Linked DNA regions of Cricetulus griseus. The protein of the gene in region 3 binds, or shares a complex with, the protein of the main gene of each other region. Links are inferred from orthologs where the notes say so. Each region holds a gene or a part of one and is shown on either strand. Other genes may lie near its edges.

Region 1 (4,093 bases), on a different chromosome or scaffold from region 3:
AACAAAACAAAAAAGTTTCTCTACCTCTGAGGAAGGCAGGTTTTTAGTTGGCAGACTTTATTTCAAATATTTCCCCAACAGTTTTCACGACCTAAACGATCCCTTTAGCATATGCAGCAAACTGTTGGACCTCTCTTACCACCACAGGACTGAACCTACAAGCCCTGTTTGTCCAAAGGTTGTAACCCGTGTCGGCTGAGCGTCTTTTTCCTGCATACACCCCGAGTTGCAGGATGCTACGGCTGGACCCCAGGACAGGTCCCATAAGTGTTGGCAGAATTGCACCTCAGGGAGCCCTTCTTCACACGGCTACGTGCAAAGTTTCAGCCTGGGCTTGAAGGCCGCAGTAACCCTCTCGCAGTCAGGGGCATCTCTTTGGTGACACAAAGGCCCGGGACAGGTTTTACAGCGACAGGCAATCTACACGGTTTGGAGAAACCCTAGTTCTCGGTTGCGAAGCGATGTTTTCTTGCAGCCCTCGTCTTAAACAAAGGAGTAGGTGGGGGGGGGGCAGGGAGGGCTCAGGACCGTCTACCTCCAGCGCTCCGCCGGCCCGCCCCACGTCCCCTCACCCAGACCCAGTCTCCCTGCGACCACAGGCAGTGGCCGTGACTGCCGAGGGCGCCCCCGGCCCCGCCCGGCCAGCCCAGCCCAGCCCAGCCCAGCGCGGGGGTCCCGAGCCCCGAACCTGTGCACCTGCCGAGCGGCCCAGCGCCTCACCTGCGGACCGCGAGGGGCGCAGTTTGCGCCCGCCTGGCCGCGGGCCCCGAGTCAGCCGGTAGATGCAGTAGCAGGCGCCGGCGCCCAGGACCAGCCCTGCCGCCACCCAGCCCGCGTCCCGCGCGCCGCCCATGCCGCCGCTGCCTCCGAGTCGCACGGAGCGGATTCAGCACCGCACGTAGCGGCAGCAGCACCGCAGACAGGAAGTGCGGCTGAAGCTCCGCCTTCCGGAAGCCGCCCTGCGAGCGTCGGAAGCCCCTCTACCCGCGCGCTGCATCACCAGGAGGGCGGCGGGATGGGCTGGCTGGAGCCGCCGCACTCGTGGCCGCCCGCCCCACCCCGCCCCGCCCCGCCCCGCCCCGCCCCTCTGAGTTCTCCTCTAGCTCGCCCCACCCCCGCGCCGCCCCTTTGTACTCTGCCCGCCCTCCTCACTCCGCCCCGCCCCCTGCCCTCAGGCTCTAGTTTCCATTTCCAGGCTGACCCGGACCGCCCCGCCCAGCTGCATGCCCCTCCCCTTTACATTCTGCCCCGCCCTCTCTCACTCCGCCCCGCCCCCTCCCCTCAGTCTTTAGTTTCAGTCTCCAGGTGGTGGGGACCAACCTGCCAGGCTCCAGGCCACGCCCACTTCATGCTCCGCCCCGCCCCTCCCCTCGGGCTCTATTTCCATCTCCAGGCTGGCGGGGACTGTGCCTGGCTGGTTCCGTGGTTGCCACGCAACGCCCCGACGCGGCTGGCCTTGGAAGCGCAGGTTTCCAGATTGGGCAGACCGCGGTTTCTCTGTCCGGTCTCCGGCCATGGCTTCGTTACGCGGTGCCTCCCCCAAACTGAGGAACTACTTCAGGGACAACTACATCCCTCAGATCTGTGAGGTACCTACTGGAGCCAAGCCGAAGGCGGGCGCAGGGAGGGGCCCCGGGGCAGGTGCGAGGAGACCGGGGTGATTGATGGTGGCGCCAGCCTGGATGGTGTGAGGAAGGAAGAAGTGACATCCTGCAGGGAGAAAGAGCAAGTGTCAACTAGTGAGGGTCAGCCAATGGACAGAGAGAGAGACAGAGACAGAGAGACAGAGACAGAGAGACAGAGAGACAGAGACAGAAAGACAGAGAGAGACAGAAAGACAGAGAGACAGAGAGAGAGAGCAGAGACAGAGCGAGACAGACAGACAGACAGACAGACAGACAGACAAAGTGGGAAATTACCAGTATGGAGCCAAGTAGAAATATTTAATAGGGAAAAGCCTTACTTACAGAGCGACCTAGCCAAATTGCATGGCAGCAGTCTGTAGAGCAAGCCGAAAAGTGAAACCAAAAGCAAAACCCCAACCTGGAACTCTACATCACCCTGACCACGCCCTCAAAGGCGTGGTTAGGCACACCCCTAAGTGGGCAGCTTCCCCTACAATTCCCCTTTTAGTCTAAAAGAGGAGTAAAACTTAACAGTGTTAAGTATCCAAAATTAACAATCATAAAGGTGAAATATAAGAAGATACAACAATCTGCTTATGTCACATCCTAACTATCTATGTTAACTAAACCCTAAAGTCATCTGAAAGAGGTGTCCAAGCCCGAACACCTCCTTCCAATCCCAACCATAAACAATAGGAAACTATCCCTAACTAGGTATATACACTATCTTAAGTGACAACAATGGGGGAAAGGGGACGTAGTATTCTCCAAGTTACTTCCTGCTGAAATGGGATGACGACATCCTTATGGGGTCCTGTAGGAAGAAAATGTTAGTATAGTAAAAGTCTTGAATGGATTGTATCCAGTCCATGCTTGAAATCCTCAACTTGATTGAAGTCAGTACCCAAAGCTTTGGCCGGAGTGTCAGGTGAAATGGAGCAAGTTGGATGCAGTGCAGTTGAGGAGGTGTGGCCCATTTTCTTTCCAGGGTGTCGAGGGATTGCTGTCAGGCAGGTCTTCATTGGCTGTGTGGGACTCAAACATAAACAGCAGAGAAATGTTGCTTGTGTATGTACACATACTAGGAAAGGCAACCATGGGAGAATAACGATTATGAGAGGGTGTACACCTTGAGAAAGAGAGCCAAGAAAAGACAAAGACAGTCCCCAAATTCTTCTATCATTCTGTATTACATCAATTGGCTTCTTGATACTATACAGAAAATCTAAAGTTTAGTTAAACAACGTGCTTGGATTTTAGAGGAGGAAAGCCAAATCCACCTCTAAATCCAGCGTTGGTTTAATTGAATAGGGGCTAGAAAAAGAGAAATCGAGTTCTCTGAGAGATAGCTGTAAAGTTTGCCGTATGGCACGTTCCTTTTGTTTGATGGTTATAGCTACCTTCTCTTCTTAAGCATCTACCCATGCAGTGTCCTTTGCCTTCAGGAGATGAGTTTTCCTGTGAAGATAAAAGCAAAACACTTCCCTTTCCTTTGGGAGGTTTCTATTTAATTTATAAGATATACCTTAGTAGAATACCTGTCATTTCTCCTCATCAAGAGGTTTTTCCTTTTCAACTCGAATCTTGATCAACTTTGATGGTATCCAAAGTTTTTCTTGTCCTGTGGAAACCAATGCAAAACCCCTACCCCACTGTAACACATGTCCTGGTTTCCATACAGAGGTTAATACATCTTTGAAGTATATCGGCTGATTCAGTTCAGCAGTTTTCTCCATAGTCCAGTGTCTTTCTGCAGCTGTTTGTTCTTTCTCATTGGCATTAAGAAAGTTTAGTGTTAATAAAGCATTATGCAACCTATGTTTGGGGGGTTTAGTCTTCCAAGTTTGTTTGTTGAGCATCTCCTTAAGTGTTCTATTAGATCTATCAACAGCTGCTTGTCCCGTAGGATTGTGTGGTATACCAGTAACATGCTTTTTGTTATAATATTTGAAAAACTGTTCCAATTTTGTGGAGACATATGCTAGAGCATTGTCAATTTTTATTTGTGCAGGTATATCCATAATTGCCATCACCTCTAGCAGGTGTGTAATAACAGAATCAGCTTTTTCAGAGTTAAGAGCAGTAGCCCATTGGAACCCTGAGAACGTGTCTATAGTATGATACACATATTTCAAATTTCCAAATTCTGCAAAGTGAAAGACATCCATCTGCCAAACCTCATTTCTCCGAATGCCCTTAGGATTACAACCTGCTGGCAATGGAGTTTGGTTATAAAAGGAACAAGTAGGACAGTTTCTCACTATCTCCTTGGCTTGTTGCCAAGTGATGGAGAAGTCCTTTTTCAAACCTTTGCTATTTACATGATGTTTCTTATGAAATTCTGAGGCTTCTAGCACACTTCCAATTAATAAACGATCAATCTCATCGCCTTGTGCTAGTGGGCCTGGCAGACCCGTATGGGATCTGATATGTGTAACATATATAGGATCACTTCTGTTTCTGATAGT
Region 2 (4,266 bases), about 99 Mb from region 3:
GAAGCCTTGGCTCTGCGGGTCTCATCCCTCTGGAGAGCTGTGGACAGTGTCAAGAGCCATGCTCAGGTCTGGCTGTGGGTCCTACAGAACCAATCACCATGGCCTCCATGAACTAAGTTCACCTCTGTGAACTTGGTGACAGGTGTCAATTTCGTATACTCTTTATTAGTTGCCCCAAAACCCATAGGGTTTTCATTCCTAAGTCAATAATCCCTCCATGTTCTGGCCACTATAAGACAATGGCTTCCCCAAGTTGCAGGTTAGCTCCATGGTAGACTACTTACCTATCATGAATGAAGTTGTGATTCTATTCCCAGCTGGGGGAAGGGGTGGGAGATAGCTTCTTTCATTGATCTTCACTGCCTAGCCCTTCCTCACAATCTTGCAAATAGATTAATGGCTATCTTGGTTTAGCCCTGCACACAGTTCAAACTTTCCAGTTCCCCAAGAACCCAGAAATGCCCTATGTTCCATACATTGGGTGGCTAGTTTATTGTCAACTTGACATAAGCTAGAGCCATTAGAGAAGAGGTAGCCTCAACTGAGAAAATGCTTCCATAAGATCAGGCTGTAGGCAAGATTTTAGGGCATTTTCTTAATTAGTGACTAATGGGGAGGGCCTACCCACTGTGGATGGTGCCACCACTGAGCTGGTGGTCCTGCGTTCTATAAGAAAGCAGGCTGAGCTGGGCATTGGTGGCGCACGCCTTAATCCCAGCACTCGGGAGGCAGAGGCAGGCGGATCTCTGTGAGTCCGAGGCCAGCCTGGTCTCCAGAGCGAGTGTCAGGATAGGCTCCAAAGCTACACAGAGAAACCCTGTCTCGAAAAACCGAAAAACAAAACAAAATAAAACAACAACAACAAAAAGGGAAGCAGGCTGAGCAAGCCATGTGAAGCAAGGCAGTAAGCAGCAACCCTTCATGACCTCTGTATCAGCTCCTGCCTCCAGGATCCTGCCCTACTCGGATTCCTATCCTGACTTTCTTCAATAATAAACAGTGATTTGGAAGCTTAAGCCAAATAAACCCTTTCCTCCCCAAGTTGATTTGGTCATGGTGTTTCATCACAGCAACGATGACCCTAACTAGGACTTCTATCTCTGCCATCTCCTGAGGCTTCAAACTTCTTACCCAAGTGGTCCTGAAGCAGCTCCTTCTCCAGCAGGACCATCCTATGCTTGGCCTCAGCCTCTGCATCTGTTCTGGCAAGACAATAGTCTCAGGTTATCCTTCTCTCGGCCTCACCCCAGTGCTGCTCTGCACCTGCACTTCTTCCTTCGTGATGGAGGAAGATAGCTGGATGAGGGAGGCCCAATGGCAAATCTGACAAATTTACGGCTGAGTGGCAGAGTCTTCACCCACCATGTGCACGGTGGGTGCTCAAAATAAGGGTGAAAAATATGATGAGGGCAAAGAACTAGATGGGGCTCCAGGGGGAATTTGGGAAGGAGGCATTCTCCACTTCCTCAGCCCCATGGAATCTGGACGCAAGGATCTGCAGAGGAGGGCCAGGAAGCTTCACCCTAGCCAAGTGTGGTAGCAACGCCTGTAATCCTGTCACTATGAAGACTGGGGCAGCCTGGGTCCCATAGTGACCCTGTGTCAAAAGAACAAAAGACAAAACCAAAACAAACCCACTCCATTTGTTGCCCAGAGGGCTGGATTCCCTCCGAGGACCTTTGTGTCACAGACACGCCCTGTGACTCACCAGGACTTGATTTTTTTTTCTTCTTCTGTGCCCCAGTTTTTCTCCCCTTTCCTTTGGTTTTAGGTGGCATCCTTGCTGCCCTGGGGGAGGGAAGACCTTCTGTGTAGGTCTGCATACAGAAATGCTCTCCTGACTCCTAGAGGTAGGGGTCTTGGGGCAGTCAGAATTCTAGTCTTCCAGTGTATCTTACACTTTCTAGAAGCTTTGGTTCTTGGTCTCCTGGGAACCCCAGGCAAGGCTGGGAGGTAGAGCAATTCTATGGGCAGCAGACAGCCCTTTTAGAGAAGATAAATCTCTGGACCTGGTCCCTTCTGTCTCCCCAACATGCTTATTCTTCCCCTTCCTACCTGGAGGACCTTCTCTTGCTTGAGTGCTGTCTCCCTGGGGAATAACACTCCTTGGGAAAGATAGAGTCCCAAGCAGATTGAGCCTAGGGAGGAAGGAGCCTGGGTCCTGGGAGCCAATCCAGGCTGAAAAACTTCCCCAAGAGGCAGGACCAAGAACTGGGATGTTGGGTTTCTGGAGACTGCCTGCTGCCCAGGCAACCGGGAAACACTGTGTTCATAGGCAGGTAGAATGGGCTAAATTGACTCACACAAAGGTCCTGTGTAGGTAGATTCCCCTCCTACCCGCAAAGAAAAGGTCTTGGAGCTGAATAGCTATTATTCATGTCTACACAGGCACTGCCTATCATCTGGAGACTTTGCAGTCTAGAAATCTAGAAGCATCCAGTGTGAGAGGCTAGTGCTTTACAGATGGAGAAGAAAGGCAGGGAAAGTAGCCATTGCAGGTACTTTATATCCCGAGGTCTCATGAACACAGTGACATGATTTGCTTTAGAACTTGAGGTCTACTTCAGAAATGCTATCTGTGGCTTGTGCAGGAAACACGTGCTGGCACAGGTAGTTGAGAGTTTTCCACTTAAGAGAAATGAGAACAGAGAAGAGCTGTGGACTTGGGGATGCTGACCCAGAAAGGAGGCCACAAATTAGGCAGAGTTGCGAACTGAGCTACTTAATTTTGCTCAGCTTGGATTTCTTGGTGTATAAGTTTTGTAGTTCCCTCCTGGAGTCCAGTTGTAGAGAGGGAGGAGGGATGAGCAAAGGGGTCAAGACCATGCTGGGGAAACTCACAGAAACAGCTGACCTGAGCAAGTGGGAACACACGGACCCCAGTCTGACATCTGGGGAACCAGCATAGGACCCAACCAGGCCCCCTGAAGATAGGTGTCAGTTGGGAGGCCAGGGCAGTCTATGGGGCCTCTGGCAGTGGAACCGGTATTTATCCTAGTGCACAGACTTTGGGAGCCCATTCCCTATGGAGGGATACTCTCTCAGCCTAGATACATGGGGGAGGGCCTAGGCCTTGCCCCAAATGATGTGACAGACTTTGATGATCCCCCTGGGAAGGCTTTACCCTCCCTGGGGAGTGGACGGCAGTGGGAATGGGATGGGGGTGGGTGGGCATGGGAAGACAGGACCGAGATTGCTATGTAAAATAAGGATATATATATATATATATATTATATATATATATATATAATATATATATATATACTCAGTGGTGTGTTTCTAGGACTTCTTTCTCTCCCGCTCAACAATTGTCTCACTCTCCCTATTTCTCTGTGAGGTTACTCTGCAGACAGGGTGTTTAGAAGCCCCCAAGCTCTCTGCAGCATAGAGTTGGTTAGTGCTCCCTCTAGTGGACTTGCTTTGACCAGAGTCTCCTAAATTTTGCAGTTTAGTATTTCTTGCACAATATGGGGGAGATTCTCTTTGGGGGATGCCTTCTAGCATCTTGCATATGATTTAAAAAATTGATTGTGGGTAGAGAGTGTGATGGGGTAGCTTGCTATTGCCCCCTCCATCTGGGAGGGCTCCATCCTGGAACCGGGCCATTACTGGGCATCACAATGGCATCATACATAGAATGGAACAGTAAGCCTTCCTTCTTCCCTGTGGATTATGGGATCTACAGACTCTTTTTGGGCACTTCTGTCTATTCCAGAATTTTGGTCAACTGCATATTATCAGAAGCAAATCTGCAGAAACAGGTATAAGACGTGGGAGGAAGATCTCTCACCTGTGAAGAAGAAGCAGAAGGTCAATGAGTGTTTATTTAACCCCATGGCACTTTAGAGATCTTAGAAAAGATTTTTAATTTTAATTTTTCATTTCGCTATATGTGTGTGGGTTTGTGCATGTGAGTGCAGTACCCAAAGAGGCTGGAAGAGAGCATTGGAGCACCTAGAGTTGGCCTTACAGGCTGCTGTGGGCAGTCCATCAGTATGGTTGGTGCTAGGAACCAAAGTCGGGGTCTCTGCATGAGCAGTGCTTGCTCTTAACTGCTGGACCATGTCTCCAGCCATCACTCTGTACATTTTGTAGAGGGAAGAGAGGAGTCAGACTTGCCTCTATGGTGCTTACAACCCATGGAACTTGGGGCTGGTGAGCCTTGTGCACACTTCCCAGATATAGAGGACATCTTTCTTCTCACTTTCCACCATGTTTTTATTTATTCTTCCTTCAGAATCTCCTCTTCCTGCCCTAGAATACATG
Region 3 (3,630 bases):
AACTCAGAGATCCTCCTGCCTCTGCCTCCCGAGTGCTGGGATTAAAGGCGTGCGCCACCAACGCCCAGCTATGATAGTGATATTTCACATACAAGATTTTCTGGCATAATAGGAGCCCTTCTTGTGATTTTTTCCCCTTAAAACAATTCACTTTTATTTTGAATTGTGTGTGTGTGTGTGTGTGTGTGTGTGTATTCTCTCATAGGTGAGATCTGAACTTATATATACGCTCACCCAGGACAGGAGAGTAGAGGGGACCACAATGAGGGAGAAGGGAGTTTGAGGTCTGGGGACAAGAGAGTAGGGTCAGTAGACAAAGAATATTACCACATTTTCTCCTACATTTCCATTCCCCCTCCTTGTATAGTTTCTAAAACATTAGCTGTTTATTTTGCCAATGAGAAAACAGCAGCACAGAAATTTTAGATAAAAAACAGATAAATTTTAGTAAAAAACAGAGCCAGGATTGAGACACTGAAGCTGGCTTTACAGTCCAAAAGTGTCGTTACTGTCAGTAGCCCAAGCATTTAGCCACAGGTTAAGAATCAATTGGGAGACAAATGATGTCTTGTGGTTCCTCAGTACTTGAATTTAGGTCTGAAAAATATTTTGGCTTTTCTTATATAGCCCTCAGGATCTGAAATACATTACTAAATTTGGTACCAATTTTCACTTTTTAGTACAATTCTCCTTTTATTTTGTATAGTTTTATATTGTTTTGTATTATTGTAGTATTATTTGTATTTGTATTATTGTATTATTATTTGTATTTGTATTATTTGTATTTGTATTATTGTAGTTTTATATTGTTTTATATTTGTTTATATTGTATAGTTTTATATTGTTTTGTTGTCTGTCTCACTGTGTTGCCCAGTGAGTTCTCTCGTGACTCCACTCAGCCTTCCTTACCCATGACCACAGGTCCATGCCACTACGCTGTCTGTGTATATTGTGTTTTGCCTGCATGTGTCCCTACACGCCAGCAGAGGGCACAAGATCTCATTACAGTTGGTTGTGAGCCACCATGTGGTTGCCGGGAATTGAACTCAGGAACTCCAGCCCCGGGATGATCATGTTTATTACCAACCTTATTCCATGGAGAATTTGAGATGAAAGAAAATGAAGATATAGGGATTAGCTCAGAATCTGACATGCCCAGGCACAAAGCCTGGGTGTTCCATCCCCAATACAGAAAGAAAAAAGTAAATAAATAAATAAATAAATAAATAAATAAATAAATAAATTAAATGGTGTGAAGTGGACTGATGCCTCTAAGACACTGTCTCTCCTCTCATAAAAACCAAGATCTCATCTTGCTATTTTATACTTACAATATGGCAAATTTACAGATCACTGTGGGTTTTTGTTGATTTGTTATTTTACTGTTCATTTTTGGATTGTTGCTTTGTAGTTTTGAGCAGGGTCAACCTTAGCCAAAGCTGGCCTGAAACTTAATATCCTGCCAGGTGACCCAGAAATCCTGACTTCTGCCCTCCACCTCCCAGGTGCCAGGATCGCAAGCCAGAACCATCAGACTCTTGCTCTTTTACCCTTTGTGATGCTGGGGTTGGGTCCAGGGCCTTCCACATGTTAAGGATGTATTCTATCATGGGCCTACCCCCTCAGCCCCAAGCTTCACCTTTGCTCTTTGTCTTATAGTTCACCAGGCATTAAGTTAGGGGATGACAGAATGTGTGGAGGCAGGAAGACAAGAAACAGTGGGATATATGTTTTGATGGGGCTGAAGAAAGGTCTGTTTTCTTGGAGTATGGAATGTAAGTGGAGAAAAAGGTTGAAAAATACACAGCAGTCCTCTTAAAGTGTTGTCTCTTTAAAACAATTATCTCTAAAGACTTTCTTTTTAAGATTTATTTAGTTTGTATGTGTACGAATGTTTTGTTTGAGTCTATGTCTGTGCACCATGCACACCCACCGAGGTCTGAAGAGGGTGTGTGGGTCCCCTGGAACTGGAGTTACAGATGGTTGTGAGCCCCCACATGGGTCTTCTGCAAGAATAAGTACTCTTAACCCCTAAAACAGTATCTTTAACACCATTTATTTTCAGAAAGCAAGCCACGAAAAACCATCTGCGGTCTCAAGTACAAGGAAATTATCTCTTCCTTTGTCAGAAATGAAACAACGAGGCCAGGACTTAATCTTAAAGAAGCCTACCAGGCAGACCATCATAAACCTGGAGACACTGAAGAAAATTCAGAATGATAGGTAAGAAGAAGGGAAGGTAATCATACCAGCCAGCAGGTGTGAAAGAGGACACCTGCTTCTGTGAAGGTCCCAAAAGTGGAGTGGCACAGTTTAAAACATGGCCAGCCTGGTCTACAGAGCAAGTTCCAGGACAACCAGGGCTACACAGAGAAACCCTGCCTTGATAAACTAAAACAAGCTGGGCAGTGATGGCACATGACTTTGATCCCAACACTCTGGAGGCAGAGGCAGGTGGATCTCTGTGAGTTCGAGGCCAGCCTGGTCTACAAAGTGAGTTCCAGGACTGGCTCCATAGTTACTGAGAAACCCTGCCTTGAAAAAAATCAAAACAAAACAAAAAAACAAAAACCCAAAACAAGCTGGCTGGTGGTGGCGCATGCCTTTAGTTCCAGCACTCGGGAGGCAGAGGCAGGCAGATCTCTGTGAGTTCAAGAACAGCCTGGTCTACAAGAGCTAGTTCCAGGACAGCCTCCAAAGCCACAGAGAAACCCTGTCTGGAAAAACCAAAACCAAAACAAAACAAAAAACCCCCCAAAAACAAATAAAAAAAAAGCAAAACAAACAAGCAGCCCCCCCCCCAAATAACCCATGGTGCTGTATTATCTTGAACAAGTTAACGAGCTTTTGTTCTCCCTTTCCTCTTACTCTCCCTACCTCTTTCTTCCCCCTTTTCTTTTTCTTTTTCTCCCATTCTCCCTCTCTCCCTACCTCTCTTCTTTCTTTTCTTGCTTCGCGTTCTTTCTTTTTCAGTCTCTAGTCCCAAGTGGTCTGAACTCACTGTGTAAACCAGGCAGGCCTAAAATTTCTGGGCCTCTTGCTTTCTACTGAGTTCTGGGCTTACAGATCTGCACCACCACATCCTATTTTAGTTTGTAACTTTCTTTCTTTCTTTCTTTCTTTCTTCTTCTTCTTCTTCTTCCTTTTTCTTCTTCTTCCTTCTCCTCCTCCTCCTCTTCCTCCTCCTCCTCCTCCTTCCTTCCTTCCTTCTCCTTCTTTTTTTTTTTTTCCAGACAGGGTTTCTCTTTGTAGCTCAGGCGGTCCTGGAACTCGCTCTGGAGACCAGGCTGGCTTTGAACTCACAGAGATCTATCTATCTGCCTGTTTCTGCTTCCTAAGTGCTGGATTAAAGGTGTGTGCCATCACTGTCTGGCAGAAACTCTCTTCTTAATAGAGCTGTTAACTCTTTTTTGTATGAATTATTATTGATAAGTACAAAATGATAAATATAATTTTTCCAACTCTGTATCAAAACAAATTAAAAAATTAGGTTTAATTGGTGTGTGTGTGTGTGTGTGTGTGTGTGTGTGTATGAGTGTATGAGTTTTGCCTGCATATATGTATGTGAACTATGTGTGTGCCTTGTGCCCGGTTTTGAGCTGCCATGTGGATGCTGGGAACCAAACCTGG

The links. The genes of interacting proteins can lie anywhere in the genome.
Region 1: Iqcg (region 3) and Fbxl13 share a complex: the UniProt entries of both Homo sapiens proteins name them as parts of the nexin-dynein regulatory complex. The link is inferred for Cricetulus griseus from reciprocal best matches to the Homo sapiens genes DRC9 and FBXL13.
Region 2: Iqcg (region 3) and Ccdc153 share a complex: the UniProt entries of both Homo sapiens proteins name them as parts of the nexin-dynein regulatory complex. The link is inferred for Cricetulus griseus from reciprocal best matches to the Homo sapiens genes DRC9 and DRC12.

Annotation. Positions count from the first base shown.
Region 1 is NW_023276806.1:172,829,638-172,833,730, forward strand, and holds the start of Fbxl13 (dynein regulatory complex subunit 6), read left to right. Parts: upstream 1-1,286; 5' UTR 1,287-1,514; coding exon 1,515-1,589; intron 1,590-1,597; coding exon of another isoform or gene 1,598-1,709; exon of another isoform or gene 1,710-1,710; intron 1,711-1,967; exon of another isoform or gene 1,968-1,983; intron 1,984-4,093. Other genes in the region: Armc10 (armadillo repeat-containing protein 10), read right to left, coding at 721-853. UniProt on the Homo sapiens protein: Substrate-recognition component of the SCF (SKP1-CUL1-F-box protein)-type E3 ubiquitin ligase complex.
Region 2 is NC_048597.1:155,926,445-155,930,710, reverse strand, and holds the start of Ccdc153 (coiled-coil domain-containing protein 153), read right to left. Parts: upstream 2,808-4,266; 5' UTR 2,056-2,807; intron 1,789-2,055; 5' UTR 1,779-1,788; coding exon 1,709-1,778; intron 1,683-1,708; exon of another isoform or gene 1,644-1,682; coding exon of another isoform or gene 1,639-1,643; intron 1,203-1,638; coding exon of another isoform or gene 1,198-1,202; coding exon 1,132-1,197; intron 38-1,131; coding exon 1-37. UniProt on the Homo sapiens protein: Component of the nexin-dynein regulatory complex (N-DRC), a key regulator of ciliary/flagellar motility which maintains the alignment and integrity of the distal axoneme and regulates microtubule sliding in motile axonemes.
Region 3 is NC_048597.1:56,503,501-56,507,130, forward strand, and holds part of Iqcg (dynein regulatory complex protein 9), read left to right. Parts: intron 1-2,065; coding exon 2,066-2,223; intron 2,224-3,630. UniProt on the Homo sapiens protein: Component of the nexin-dynein regulatory complex (N-DRC), a key regulator of ciliary/flagellar motility which maintains the alignment and integrity of the distal axoneme and regulates microtubule sliding in motile axonemes.